2 linked regions of the Lepisosteus oculatus genome follow. The protein of the gene in region 1 purifies or fractionates together with the protein of each later gene. This does not show direct contact. Links are inferred from orthologs where the notes say so. Each region holds a gene or a part of one and is shown on either strand. Other genes may lie near its edges.

What was found. Proteins that work in one complex are often made in the same cells at the same time.
Region 2: the proteins of nod1 (region 1) and ripk2 purify together in Homo sapiens (affinity purification with western blotting; 4 studies listed by BioGRID and IntAct, with this or other methods). This does not show direct contact. The link is inferred for Lepisosteus oculatus from reciprocal best matches to the Homo sapiens genes NOD1 and RIPK2.

Annotation. Positions count from the first base shown.
Region 1 is NC_090705.1:41,585,637-41,593,760, reverse strand, and holds the start of nod1 (nucleotide-binding oligomerization domain-containing protein 1), read right to left. Parts: upstream 3,064-8,124; 5' UTR 2,661-3,063; exon of another isoform or gene 2,465-2,660; intron 1,989-2,464; 5' UTR 1,936-1,988; coding exon 1,738-1,935; intron 1,303-1,737; coding exon 1,128-1,302; intron 449-1,127; coding exon 1-448. Other genes in the region: gamma-glutamylcyclotransferase-like, read right to left, coding at 4,418-4,543, 5,171-5,303, 5,956-6,101, 7,316-7,426. UniProt on the Homo sapiens protein: Pattern recognition receptor (PRR) that detects bacterial peptidoglycan fragments and other danger signals and thus participates in both innate and adaptive immune responses.
Region 2 is NC_090701.1:25,469,275-25,477,045, reverse strand, and holds the start of ripk2 (receptor-interacting serine/threonine-protein kinase 2), read left to right. Parts: upstream 1-4,598; 5' UTR 4,599-5,233; coding exon 5,234-5,424; intron 5,425-7,771.

The DNA.
Region 1 (8,124 bases):
TGCAGCAGGACGTACCGGAAAACCTCCTCGTCCGGATCCTGGTCCGGGTAGCAGTTGTACTTGAAGAGGAGGTCCTTCAAGGAAATCTCATCGGTCTCCTTGAAGGCGCTGAACATCCTGCACCGGAACTTAAAGAAGAATTTCGCCTGGATGTTCAGCTGCCTCGTGGACCACAAGTTCTGCAGCTTCTGCAGCAGGATGGACTTCCCTACACCAGCATCTCCCAGGACCAAGATGGTCTCTGCAAGCTGGTTGAAGACCCCCCAGTCACTGAACAGCTGTTCTAGGCCGTCCAGGTGACCCAAGTTCTCATTGCGCTCGTTCAGCAGCTCCATCACGGTGTCCGTGTACATCTCATCCAGCAGCGTCTCCTCTTTCTGTGCGTAGGAGGTGATGAACTTGGTGTCCTGTTCCAGCTCATGGCGAAGCTTCTTGCAGTACTTGCTTACTAAAGAAATTAACCAAAAAAACTTAAACTCCATCAATCCAAACATAAACGTGAACTGAAAACTCTACTTCTAGGTGTTGAAGCAGGTATCTACAAGCTGGACATTGCTGGAACTTGGTAAAAGAAATGGGAAGGAATCTTAGCCGAGACAAAAAAATATTTTTCTCAACCCAGGTCCAGACAGAGACAGACCTAGTGCTAGAAAGTTGCCCTTGAGCCAGTAAGAAAAGAGCGTTAATCCTAAAGAGAGGGAAACCAGTATCTTTAACTTCCACACCTTAGATATCAAATACTGCTGTCCAACCTGCTCCCGCTCACTGAACATGTATGTCTAGTTACTTCTACCACCACAGTTCATTTTCACCTTTAATTAAACCACGACCACCTTAAATGTGTATTCAACACACATTCGAAATGATAAGGAAACTAACTTCCTTAACTTTTGTTGTTTAGTTATAAGGTTCCCCAATCAAAGAATTCAACTGTTTTCAGTTGCCAATTATCAATCTTAGTCCTGATGCAGGGGCAGCTACAAACAGCCAGTGTGCTCCGTATTACAGCCAGCTCGAAAACTAGACATAGGATTCTTGCAGGCACTGTAAATTATTCAATTGCAAACACAAACCAAAAATCTCAACATCTAATTAAGTGTTCCTTTATTAGTTACCCTAATATTTACCTGGATCAGTGTTGACCACTGGTAGTTCCTTAACAGAGTCAGAGGGTTGATACTGAATCTCTTTAAACCAAGGCCTTAGGTCTATATAGGCATCATAGGCCTCATGCAGAACATGCACAAAGTACTGAGACGCCTCTTCTCCTTTGCTCTGCACCAATTCCAAAATTTTACGAACCTGGCAAGACATGAATTGAGTTTTAATTAACAGTTAAATACAGGTATTTGTGAGAGTCATTGAGAAATCTGGACTAATTCGTTATTAAAAATATATTTTCTGCCATATCTTTGAGGCTGAATTTAACATTTTCTCCGAGCACATGGGTTTGAAAACTATACATTCTCCACTCATAATCCAGAGCAGAATGTTTTTTTTTTCTACTGTATAGATACTGGCAGGTTTATTTTTACTGGAGATGCCCAATAAAATAAAATAAAAATCAGACAAACTGGCCTGAATGAGCAACATCATTTAAAATACAGGGGGTATCTGAAGCATGCATTAACTGGCTTGAATAGAAACTTAGTTCTGTTATGCAAAGTCATGCGTTTCATGGTTTGTACCTTAAATTTACGGATGGCATTAGAGATTAGAAAGAAAGCAGTAGCCTACCTGGTCGGTTTTAGTAGAGAAGCGCGATATAATCTCTGCATCTTCGGTGCAGAAGAAGCCACTGCTGAGCAGGTTGTCTAGGATGCACTGCGTGTTCTTAATATGACTGACAAGTGTCTCCCGGTGCACTGTGAGGAGTCTAATGGTATTCACGCCGTTACCGGGCCTCTCTGCAGCAGAGCAGTCCTGAGTTCCCATTTGTCAAAGACCATGTTTCGGGGGGCAGCGATTTTAAAACCGGGCGACGGCAGCTGTAACAACACGTGGAGAACAGTGACTACCTTAAGGGGGAAAACTGGATGTCAGCACCATGCGTCAGAATCGGAAAATTATTTTCACTGAGGTATTATTATAAAAGGGTGCAGCACTCGCTCGTGGTGTAACTGACAGATTGTTTTTGCTGCGTGAAATGAGTTTGATGTCCTCAATGGTTAAATCACTAGCCTAAACTCTTCCTTGTTTTAAGACCTGGACTTAAAGGACTCCAGGGCCCAAACAGAGACTAGTCCTTCAAACATTTCCGATGAGTTTCACCCGTTCTGCTGATACCCCTTTTAACCACAGAACTGCGTCCAGTGAGACAGGACGAAATACCACGCAGTTCAAGTGCGAATGGAAAACGCAACTGCTGGTCGCGTTGTGTTTTGATGCATACAGTCAAAGCCTTTTTCCCCCCCTCACAATAATAATGGAATATTTAATAGTAATGTAAGAAATAGGCACTTACCGGTTATCACATAGACAAGGACCTATAACAACTAACTTCACTCAAGTGAGGAAGTGAAAACCCAGTTGTGATTATCAGCAGAATTTAGGAACACCTCCAGCTACATTACTCCGGCCCCCGCCTTAATTCGCCAGGCCGGCAGAAACAGTAGTAACCGAGACTTTAACGCTTCTTTGACCCTTTCTGCGTTACATACGTGACTTCGGCGACTCGCTCTTTGGCTGTCTCCAAATCTGCATTCGTCCGGACAAGGAAATGGCGATGTGGCGTATTTAGTATTTTAGGGAAAGTCGTCCGCCACCGCCCCAAGAACAACACTACAGCCTGGTACACGTTCCTAACAAGCAAGCGAAAGTGAAATACGAAGGTCCTTAAATTGTGCCGTTACTGCTACTGGAGCTGTGCGCCGCAGGGAGTTTTTACAATTAGCAGGAGATATTTGGGATTAGGAAATAAAAACAATCTGGGGAGATAGTTTATAGAAAAAATATAAACCAGCTCCTTAAATATGTCAGGTAGTACTGAGATTAAAGCTAAAACACGCTGTACAGTATGTGAAAAAAAGAATTATTTCCTTTCCACGGGTGAGACAAACCTCGGGGTTAGTAACTAATTGCGATTTCGCTTGGTCTCCGCTAGATGGGAGACAAAGCTGATTTTCTCCTCTTTCTGAGGTTGTTCAGTAGGTCCCTGAAAACGATACATCTCGTCAACTGCAGAATGAGATTGTCGCCGATACTTATCTTACTGCATCCCACCGAGCGACAAGAATGAAAACAGATTAAAAAGTAGAATACTATGTGTATCCACATTACAATTGTATTTATATAAACCATTCTTGTAGAATGTTCTTGGTTTTCATGTAACAAATGCACTTTTTCAGAACAATACAAGTTTTTTTTTTAATCTGATGGTTATTAAGTTATTATTTATCAATGTTTATTATTCCCACCAGATTGTGTTCATTTTTATTAATTAATTTTCGAGAAATATGTGCACAAAGTTAAATGGAGACTAAGCGAATACAACCTGACCTGTAGGTGGATTTGATAGCCAGGCAAGAAGCTATTTACAGGAATCTGAAATAAACAGAATCTTAAACATAAAAACCGGAAGATGTCAAGTGAATGGAAGTTGTCGACCAGGCTCTTCCGAGGGGAAAAACTAGTTCCTACAACTACTAGTTTTTACAACTAGTAAAAAACAGAGAAAAAGAGAAACTGAACATCGAACAAAATTTCTGCTTTTGCCATTTTATTAAATTTTAAAAGGTGAAACAATCTCTCAGTTCTCCAACTGATCTAGCAATTTTTAACTGAATTATTAAAAGAGTGTGACATTTCTACAGGGAAATTGTGTCACAGGTATATTGTAGGCAGTACTGCACTGTAGTCTGCAGTAGCCAACTATGCAACCCTGCAATTTTAAGACAAGGAACAATTGTGCAATAGGTACAATTAAGGGACAAGAGGTTCACTTAAGAAAATAACAGTAAAAACTAAAATAATATACATGCACTATAGCAAAAACAGTAATGCAAAGGGGCTTGCATTTAAGTACACATTGTTTGTACTTAGTGCAATCAGCACGCTATATTACCAGTTTAAGAATTAAAAGCATTGGTGGAACACAGAGTAAGTGCTGCTGAAGTACAGTATGGGGGTGAGAGGTCACAGGTGACGTCTACAGAGATGCGTCTTCACTAGGTGCCGAAAGTGACTGGACAGCTGCAGTTCCCATGGCTGGTTCATTTCACCAGCATCTTTTTAAGACGAGTCCATGATGACAAGTTGGCTCTGGTGTTCAGTATACAGGAGGTCCCGGGTTTTCTGTTGGTAATAAAGTGGGAGCCCAGAAGTGTACATTGACGGTGCATCTCGAAGGAGTGAGCGCACAGCAAGTGCCCAGAACCTCCAGGTCAGAGCACTGAGCCATGGTGATGAGCGACACAAACTATTTCAGTGATTCCCTGATGTCATCCAGCACCGTGGCCCCGTCGTACGTATTGGTCTCCACGGAGTCCAGCATGTTGATGTAGTCGTCAGGCAGGCCGCTCTGTCTCGCTCCTGAGCACACAACCTTCCGAAAAACAGGAGTGAGTGGGTGAGGCAAAACAGGGTCAGACTGTTAAACACTGATTCCCAGCGTCATCGCAAATTCTGCATCCCAAGATTTAATTTGGCTCATTGGCAAAATGGTCATTGCTATGGGGGGCCTGATTAGCCGTTAGCCAGGAATGTGCAGAATCTAACTGTCCTGAGTAACTCTCCGTGTAGACTTCTTCCAATCCAAAATTTCTAATGAACTCCAACTCACTTAAACTCTTAAATCACAGAAGTAGACTATGCTCTATGTGGAGTTTCCACAGTTCAATAAATTAAAAAAAGATTGTCAGCTTGTTATATGACTTCAGATTAAAAAAAAACATTATTAGCATGCGAAGCAAACTGAGTGTAATGTTTTCATTTGGATGATAAAAAATAAAACAAGTTCTTGCAGTTGCAATTATATTGGATTTTTCCAGATACAAGGCCTTAGTATAAACATACAGTAACACTATTTATTTATAACACAAACAACATATGTCTTTATTGAAACAGATTTTAAATAATGTATTTATTTTTCTTTGGTGCATCCAATGGAGTCAGAAGAAAAAGATCCATCCTGAAAACCTCCTTTAGATTGGTTACTAGTGTGGTCTCTTACCTGCTTGTACTGCGGTGAGGTAAGGCAGATCTCAAAGTCATTCATCTGGTAGGAGCGACAAAGCAGCTCTCCTCCTTCTGCTTCCACCTTCACCTCAACAGGGCTGTACACCTGCAGACTGACCAGCTCCTGCCTCCAGAACAGACACACGCATGGCATAATGGCACCGTGTAAAGCTGTACTCGAATTCCTATCCTGCAAAGTGCACGCATTTGGCAGGTACTCGAAAGAGATTGACAGCAGTTGCGTTTGTCACATTCAACAGAACTGCACCGAATCTACTGTAGCTAAAGTCCTCTCACTTTTAGGAAAAGAGGTTATTAAAGAAATTTAAACTCTTGGTTTTCTGCAGAGAATATTGACCTTGACATCATGCCATGAGGACTAAAAACTAGCAAAACACAAGTGACTTGTTGCCTGTAAGTAATGCAAAATTATTCAAATGAATTACACTCTGCTGTGCCACAGAAACAAGTCCTGCCACATTTGCACCTGAGAATGCATAAAAGGCTTCAAGGCTGAAAGAAACTGTAGAGAACACAGAGCTAAATAATAAACAAAGCTGAAAATATAAAGTAGTGACTGACAGTAACAATATGTTATCTCTCAAACTTTCTTATTAACAATGTGGCTAACACGAAGTAGGGTGCTCTTATCAGGCAGAGTTAATAGACAATCTCCACTAGGAATGTGTTTTTAATAATTATTGACTACATATTTTTCTTGAAGACATTCGGTTTGTGATAGCGTTTACTGTATTTTAGGGGTACAAAAAAAACACGTACTCATCTAAACTATGGAGATGGATAGTCCCGATTTTCCACACAGCTCCCCAGACTTCATCGCCTCGGCTTTCTTGAATAGTCGCCAGGCCTCCGTGCCACCTATTGTTTTCAGCCTCTTTCTTCAGTCCAAACTTTAACGCGTAGTTCTAGATCAAAGGAATCTCCATTAGTACAAGAGGAAGTCAGTGCAAGCGTTTCCACGGGAGCAACCACATAGCGGGAGCTTCGCAATGATGCCTGCACCCGCCGTGAAACACCTGGACCAGGACTTTGATTTTCAGACACACAGTCAAATATTTAGTAAAAAGGGAAATGTAAATAATACTGGAAAGGTGTCTGTACCACTTGCTCTTCTACACCGATTTTGTTTTTGGCTACAATAGTTATACAATAAAAATATGGAAGCCCGTTTACTTTATTTCTCGCAATTGCGACTTAAAATGTTAGAATTATGACTTAAAATCTCGTCAATTCGACTCCATTTCTCGTATTTACGACTTTATATCTCACAATTGCGACTTAAAATGTCAGAATTACGATTTGAAATCTCGTAATTCCGACTTCATTTCTCGTATTTACGACTTTATATCTCACAATTGCACCTTCATGTGACAATTTTGACATCACTTCTGGCGCCAGCAATGAACGTACAGTAGGTTGCTCATCTGGCACAATAAGCCCACTGTGGCGTTATACTTTTCTTGTGTCTCCTTTTGGAATGCTATGTTTAGCAATAGAAACTGGAAATTGGTTTGGATAATTGTTGATAGATGCTGTCTTACAAATAAAGTTAAAGCAATTTCATTTAAGATCGTTCATAGATTTTATCCTGTTAAATTGACACTTTCTAGATTTAAACACGAACAAGATGCCGGCGGGGCTACAGAAGGTCTTTAGCTCAACTGGCAGGACCCGGGTTCGAGCCCATGCAGGGAGGCACGAACTAGGGTGGGAGCGGCGAGGGCACAAGCCCTAGAACCCGAATCCGTTACAACAACAAAGGGACAGAGAATGAAATGTGGGCATTTCGAAGTCGCAAATGTGAGACAAAAAGTCGTAATTCTGAGATAAAGAAGACGCAATTGCGAGACATGAAGTCGTAATTCTGAGATTTTAAGTCGTAATTGCGAGATATGAAGTCGTAATTCTGAGATTTTAAATCGCAATTGTGAGATATAAAGTCGCAATTGCGAAATATGAAGTCGTAATTCTGAGATACAATGTCGCAATTGCGAGATATCATAGCGCGGTTTTTTTTTACTGCCTGGCGGAAACGGACTTTATTTTTTTTTTTACACGATGCAACAATTAAACAACAATTTACAACAGAACAGGGAAAGTGCAACTTTTGAGAAATTACCTTTAACCTGCCCTTGCAGAGAAATACTGCAGACGGGTTTTTTAGATGCAGTCTTTCTTTCAGCAAATTACTCCCGTAAGCAAAGTACAAGAAGTACCCGTTGTTTGTCATGACCCGATTAATAATAGCTTTTTCCACACTGCAGCATTAACGTCGACAAGGTCAAACAGTCGAACTTTTCAAAAACAATCACTGTAAAATACCTCTCCAACCGGCTGTCGAAGATAAATTATTAGTATTGCGGGCTTTGCGTGAACAATAAGTGCCAATAATCCTTTCTTTTTCTTTACAAACGGAAAAAGACGCACAGAAACTTATCCGCGCAACTACAGCACCTGAGATAATAGACTGGATTTACTACCTGGTCTGTAGCCTAGACAGTATAGATATATTTTTGACCTGATACTCATTAATTAACCCTTGAAGGCCAACATCCAAACACGTTGCATTAAAAAAAATCACGTTTCTTTTTGGGAACATAGAGGCAAACGTAATTTAATAGGGACGTCCACAGCGAGCCGTGGACACTGAATGGCAGTGTATGCAAATCTGGCAGCAGAGAAAATTTATTTCAAGCGATCCGACCCCTATACTTCAACCCCTCGAATCTGACCTAGACCTAGAAAGAGTTAATAAGAAGACAAGTGCCGGGTCGCAGGAAATTACACTGCAATACTTTTGGCCCAATGAGATCGCGCAATAGTGCCATGTCCATCCACCAATCAGCGACCCGCTTCTAACACTCGCTCCGTCGCCTCTGATGACGACACCACAACGCGACGCGCCCCTGAACAAGCCGGCTGCCAGGA
Region 2 (7,771 bases), on another chromosome or scaffold:
GTGTTCCGCTTCAGTGCACAAAATCACAGATACAGAGTGCAACCTTTTATCCTTCCTGGGCCGCTGAGGGATGAGAATGTGAGAGACTCAAGTTCATGCTCAAGATTCCCCTTTTAAAATCAGACTTTCTATATCTGGCTAGCTGCTAATCTATTCTATAATAGTTTTATGGAGAGTTATTGTTGTTATTATTGTTATTGTCGATAGTGATTGCAGTAGTACCAGATGTACTGTAATTCAGTTAAGATCAAAGCAGAAGCAGTACAGAAATATTCAATTGAAAATGATACTTTCCCAAGAAAGCTTCAAGTGCTATTCGCACCTTGAGAAACCACAGTCAGTATACTTCTGAATACACTTCTGTATCTTGTTGAAAAGTGCTCTGTTCAATGAAATTCTCAAGAATGTTGCTCTGACCTAGGGGATGACCTTGAAACACAAGGCAAAAGGCTTGGGCAAATGGATGGGTTATTAGCCAAAGGAAACTTTAAGGTAAAAGAAGTTTCATTATAATTTCATGTTTAAATTAATCAGTTTTTCAAAAATAGTACAAACCTTTATTCCATACTCTGGTTCAGAAGGCTACAGAAAGGAGCCTTGTTATTTTTGCATTAACAGGCAGTCTGTAGTGCTTTTAAAGGCTTTGTTTCTGATTATATTAGCATGATGCAGTTACAGATAGTGCAATTAAGCTTCAAGTGATGATGAAGCAGTTAATGTGGCTTAAACTAATTCTATTAGAATGTTTCATAACTATTGGACAATCATTCTGGACAAAATAAAGCAAATGTACAAGAAAAAGAACAAAGTGGACTGATTACAAAAATAGTGTTTTGAAAACAAAATGTAACTGCAACCATTGTAAATGTGTTTCTTTAAACAAACAAAGACCCGAACATCAGCCTCTTGGTATTCTGGTGAGTACAGCAAAGCTCTGGTAGAGGGATGTTGTACATATGTACAGTGAGCCACCTCAGAAAAATTCAGCCAACAAGTGTTTGTGCTGTGCCCTGGAAAAGAAAAATACAGCTCAGAGCAAACTAGTTTAAACATATAAATAGTAAAAATGAAAAATGATTTTTTCAAGGGTAGCAACATAAATTACTAAAGAAAAAATGAATCTTGTTACATTCCATGCAATGTTCTTCCTTATTTTTCCTAATATTTAATTACTAACACTCATGTACTGCCACTGTAACAAAACTGTTACAAAACATAAATAGATCTGATACAGGCTGATTAAATGAAATGTGGCGTCTACTCTCTTTCCTGACAGTCTGTTTCATGTAGCTGCAATCGTATTGGTAACCTCAGTATAAACCTCTGTAACTCTGTGAAAAATAATGAAATCCCTTAGCTTCCTCACAGGAGTGAAAAAGCACCTCACAGTTTTAGCTTTCTTGTCATTGAAATTATTCATAAATTTTGAAAAAATTAAGATTTAGAAAAGAAACCAGCATTCAACGCTATTCAAATTCAGTTTAAAGCTTTCGGGAAACACCTACACAGAACCTATCAACATAATATCACCATAGTTTGCTGTGTGAAGAACTATTATGAATGTTGTTGACCCATCTAAAGAACTGATAAAAGAACACTGTGGGAGCAACGAAATTTGTCACGCACACAAGTGGAACTATAACATATATTTATATATTTTAGTGTATAATACAAAGCCTACCACAGGGTGGGGCCATTGAACAGAGTCCAGCTTCTCTGTTCCTCTCATCTGAAGGCTCCATTGTATAAGGAATTTCCAGTTTAAAGAATGTAACCTTTATAGTTTCTACAGAAAATTACATACAGTATTACATATATTTAAAATTCAATTCAGTGAGGAATTGTCCCTAGTGGGTCCCATCATTCAAATAATACAGTATCATTTTAAACAGAAAACAGAAGTGACAAAACCAACAGAACAAAACCAACCTTGCTGTACCCACAACAAACATTTTATTTTTTATTAACTTTTTCTATCTATCCATCCATTTTCTTCATCCATTTCAGGGTCATGGGGGAGCCAAAACCTATCCCAGCAAGCAATGGTTGCACAAAGACACAAACACAGACAAATACACATGTGGACCAGGGCCAATTTTTCCCAGAAACCAATTAACTTATTAGTATGTGTTGTACTGTGGGAGGTAACAGAAACAGAGCACACGGAGGAAGCCCACACAATCACAGAGAGATCATACAAACTCCACACAGATAGCAGCTTAGATCTGGAATTGAATTTAGGGCCCCCAGTGCAGCGATGTTAACCACTGTGCCACTGTGCAGCCTCCTCCCCACTTAATAAAAATGGGGGGAAAAAAAGTGAAAAAACAAAGATTGTGATTGACAAAAAGGCAAAACCAAGGAGAGCAAGGGGTTGCCAGTCCTGGTCCTGAAGGGAGAATGTCTCTATGGGTTTATTAGGTCTTAAAGCAGCAGCACCTGGAGTTCTGGGAGTAGCTGTTATAACGGTCCAATTAAGCCACTAATAAGCTGATTCAGGTCATTCCAAGCACAACTGAACTGAAGACCTCTAGAAAACCAGCCCCCCAGGACCAGGATTGGGAACCCCAGCATGAGAGGCTTTATCAGGCCAACAGTCATAAAGCCCAGGAACGGAGAGAACCAATTTCTGTCTGGACCTGGACTCCTCGGAAGACACACCGGTGTTGGCATCGGTCACACCTCACCAAAGAAACACTTCGGGATCAAAGTATACAACACTGGTAACTTCTGCCATGCCTTCTGGTATTTGGTTCTCCCTGAACTCTTAGTGATTTGATTGTAATAAACTCCCCACTTAATTGGGCTATACAATCAATATATATACTTCTACTGTTACCATGTCTTTATTCATTGAGGATTATGATTCACATTTTAGCTTATTTATTTTTCATTCCACCCCTCAACCCCATACTGTGGTTTGCATTGTTATAGTTTTCTAACATTTGTAATGTTTGTGTTCAAAAAGAAATTGTCCATTCATATTGCTTTAGCAATTTCTGTCATTCCTTTGAAATCCACTCTTTGAATTAAATTGAAAAATCATGTAATCCACTGTATAAATCCTGGTGGTCTGATATTTCCTAGAACCAGGAATGAGGATCACTCCTTGTAGAAATCTGTACCTTGTGGAAGTTTGAACAAGTATGTTCCACGCTGTTAAAGCCCCTGACATTTTTCAAGAATAGACTGGATGTGATTTGGGTTAAATAGCTTCTAGCAGCTAAATAAATTGTGGTCTTGTTTCTAATGTTTTTCTTACCATTTGTATCATTTGCATATACTGCACGCAACAGGTGAAAGGCAGGACATACACAGACTCAAAGCCATGCGTGCACAGGGAGAATATACAAACTCCACGCAGATAGTACCCCAGGTCTGCAACTTGCAAGTCAACCTAGGACCCGAGCGCTGTAGAACATTTTATCTTCTGTGCCATGAGTATTTATTAAATCAAGCACCTATTCAGAAAAAAAAACTGAACTAGTCTACAAGGACCATTTCATAAAATTAAAAATGTATTAGCGATGTTCGAGCGTTGTTTCGGTGATTCTATCATATCCAAATTTAACCATACAGTGTATGGCATAAACATATTCAGAACGGATAGTGCAATGGGTGTACGATAAATGTGTGCTCGGGGTATATGTATAAATCACACACGCAGACGATCTAGTGAATGGAAATCCCTCTCGTGGCAGCATTTAAATATACTAATTATACACTCTAACGTCAGTAAAGTCGAAAGTTGGAATTTCCCAAATATCATACGTAATGTTGTGCAATATGTCAGCCCGTTTAAAGAAAAAAAAAACAAGTTCCATCTCCCGTTTTACAACCTCAGGGTTTGTATATCTGCAGTTCAAGAAAACGATTTTATAAAAAAGGCACTTAAATAATTATTTTTTTAAGTTCCATCAATATACTGTACGTAATAAAGCAGGCCTACACCAAAAACCACTGTATCCTATTACCCAGCTCTAAGAGCTGTTTTGCATCACAACACGCTGGCATCGTAACACCGGAACAAGCTGTCTGAACTCTCGGTCACAAGACAGGGCTGCCGTGAGATCCTGCAAATGAGCGGGTGCTGTAATGTGCTGGCGGTCTGCTTCATGTGAAGGATGTAAAATTATGCTGAATAAAATGTGCCGATTGTAAATTAACGGTCTAGTTATAAAACCCTTATAGAATAAAATAATCTAGTGCCGTCTCTTCTAAGTGACAAAATGTACTGTACGGCTGTTCGTGAGATTTGGAAACTACTGTACGAGTTTGACCTAAGTGGGATGACAGTCTCGCTGTAATGAAACCACTTCGATATTGTAAAAATGAGCATATAAATTAACTCTTCTCACATGACACATACTGGAAACAAGATGAGAGGAGAAGACACGCACCATATAAAATCAAGCGTTGAAACTGTCGTGTCAGGAAAGTCGGTTATGATGATATAGCGCCTGCAAACCAAAACCCTCTTTAGTGCTGTTTATCCTTTTTGCCGAAATAGCAACAGTGCGTTTCATGGCATGTGCTGAAACTCGGTAAAATGAGATAAAATTCTGCTTTTCAGTGGGCATAAGTCGAGAATCTGAATATATCGACGCAAGGTATTGCGTGATGGTTTCTCGATTGTACGGTAATTTTTACATTGTCAAACCCGGAAGATACTTGCTTAGGAAATAACCTGTAGGACAACTATGCAGCCTTAAGCTGTATAATACATTCGTCCAAGCAGCTGGGAGGCATATTTTGTATGACGCGGTGTGTGTGGTTTAGAAATACACATCGCGAAGGCGCAAAAACGCAATAAATCGGTTAACATCGTTCGCCGCAGAAAACATAGGGGTAAAATAAATATAAAACACCACAACCCCCCGACCATGTCTGCCGATTTCATTACTTTTTCCGCTGAAGATACGACCACTTCGGGATTTGCACCTCACACCTGATTGCCTTGACGGTAATAAGAAGACCTGGCGGAAATGGGGAAAATATTCTGTTTCTGCGACGTCTGCTTATTTTAATTTGGTTTTTATTCATCACTGTATTAATTAGTGGAGTTGGACTGATTTTTTCTTGGTAGTTTACTATAACTAAAACGTATTAGTATTTTTGTCTGAGGTTACGATTTCATACTCGGCTTTGTACTGTAGTTTTCAATTCCGCTTCTCCTTACTGGATTGCCCTCCCTTTTTTGAGGCCTTTGCATTTAAATATTATTATTACTACCATGGAGCATTCGGGCTGCGTTAATATTTGCAGCCTGACCAGCACTTTGCCGGTCATCCCCTATCAGAAACTGACGGACTTGCATTACTTGAGCCGAGGCGGCTTCGGCACCGTGTTTAGAGCCCAGCACTCTGACTGGAGAACCACCGTGGCCATCAAGTGCCTCCAGCTGGACTCCCCGGTTGGAGAAAGGTGGGTTAACCGAGTCGTGAGCTTGGGGAAAACAACACGAACTATGTAAGCAGAAAAACAAATGCTATATTAGGCTATTGAGATGGTTTCGACGGTATGGCTTTTGAAGTGGCCTTAATTTGACCAGTATGTTTTCGCCACTGTCGACTTAAAACATTTTTTTTCTTGCGAAGTTGATTCGTGTTTCTTATGTCTTTCTTGTCAATAGTTGTACCTATTTGACAGTCACTGCTTCTTGAGATTTTTTGTAATATTTCACATATTTTTTATTGATACGGAAACACAGTAATTCGTGTAAAAATTCTCTAAATGTTTGGAGGCTACAGTATGTGGTGAATAACGTTTCTAGCCCATCTAGACCTCCAGTTATCTAGCAGGCAGTGAGTTCAGATCTGATTTCTCAAAAAGGAGGAAAACACTACTGGTGCAGGATGCTCGGAGGTCCGTGGTCTAGGATAAGATTGGTGTAAAAGCGAGAAAACGTTTGTCTTCAGTTTAAAGACAGTGACTAGCAGACCAGTCACGCTGCGCACGTGCGTCCAGTTGTTGGCTGTCAGTTCGATCGACAAAGTTCTACTGTTGTCTGATAGTCATCAGAGTTAGTTGCCCGTTTAGGCAGCGAAAATTGGTTTAATCCATTTAAACTTTCATTTACAATTCATTCTGTGAATAGTAACAGTATTAAAGAAAGACATATTCTAAAGTAGCATTAATAGTTCTTTGAAATACAGTGCTGCTTGAAAGTATGTGAACCCTTCAACTTTCATACGTTTTACCCAAATTATCTTTAAAATGTTATATCTGAACTCCAATATTTAATGACAATACCCAAAATAATGGACACACATATATATATCGTTTCATTATCTATTAAATGTTTATTTAACAGAAACTAAGTGATTCCTGTGTGCAAAATTAATTCAATAAGCAGTGGCACATCCTTTAACAGCCTTTAACAGCTATGACAGTCACCAAATGTTTCCTATAGTTACTAATGCATCTGTTACATCTGCATCTGACTCCGCCATTTCAAAACAAAAGGTCTTCTTAATGTATTCTTTGGTAGATTTCCTGAAATGTTAGGGTTATTGTCATGTCATTGGACCCTTTTTTCAGCTCAACTTCAACTCATATCATATTATCAATATTTTGGTATGACTGACTTCATAGTTCCTTTAGTGATCGTGGGCCATCCTGGTTCATGGGCAGAAAAGCAGCCTAAAACCATGACACTCCTACCAGCACGGATAAGGTTTTTTTGGTGGTAAGTCTTTGCTAAACAAAGCATTTTTTGTTGCAGCCGAAAAGATTAATTTTAGACTCATCCATCTAGAGACCATTCTTTGAAAAATCTACAGGGTCATTCAGACGGTCTTTTCAAAGACACACAGCTATGTTCTTTTTTTGAGAGCAGAGGTTTTCTGTTGGCTTCCTTCCGATGAATGCCATTGCTATTCAGCTCATGTTGTATTGTTGAGGAATGAACATGGACATCATCCGCAGCAGGAGAGGTCTGGAGATCCTTGGATGTGTTCCTGGGGTGCTTTTCCTGTATGATGTATGATGTATGTCTTGTTACTCTGTGTGGTCAGTTTAAAGAACGTTCACATCTAGGTAGTGTTTACATCTAGGTGGAGTCACCATGGTTTTAAATGTCCTCCATTTGTAGATTATTAGTCTTACAGTTGACTGATGAAATTGCTATGGTTTTATAACCCTCTTGAGACTATTGAGCTCTAACAAAACTCTTACTGAAGTCGTATGAGGTCTCTTTAGATCATGTCATGGTGTATTTCACTAAGTTTAGTATAATACAAAATACCATGATCTAAAGAGACCTCATGGGTAGTGAGTATGGGTAAGACCAAATTTAATAGGTTTCTTACTTTTGTATAATAGAAGGCCTCCCAAACTTTGTCCTGGTGATTGACTTTTTGATTGTTTAAATTGGTACCTAATTATTTATTATTCTTACCTTGATAACTGAGCTAATGAACCTCCGCTTACTTTTGCACATGCAGTAATTCGTATCTACCTATTTTTTTTTCTATTACATGCATCAAGTAAGGACTAGTTTTGATTAAATGAGGATTTCATAGTAAAAATGTAACATTTAAAAAGTTGCACTAGGGGTTCACAAACTTTCAAGCAGCATTATATATTCATTAATTTATGTTATCAGTAATTGTCAGCAGGTTATTTGCATTTTATGAAGCCAGGTCAGTGCTACTTTGGATTTCGAATTTAAGATAAGTGGAATAGACAGTACCTTTAGCAATCTTCCTCAGTCTGTCACTGTCCCCATTGGAGAGTATCTCTCCACCGTACTCATTTTGCTTTCAACAAA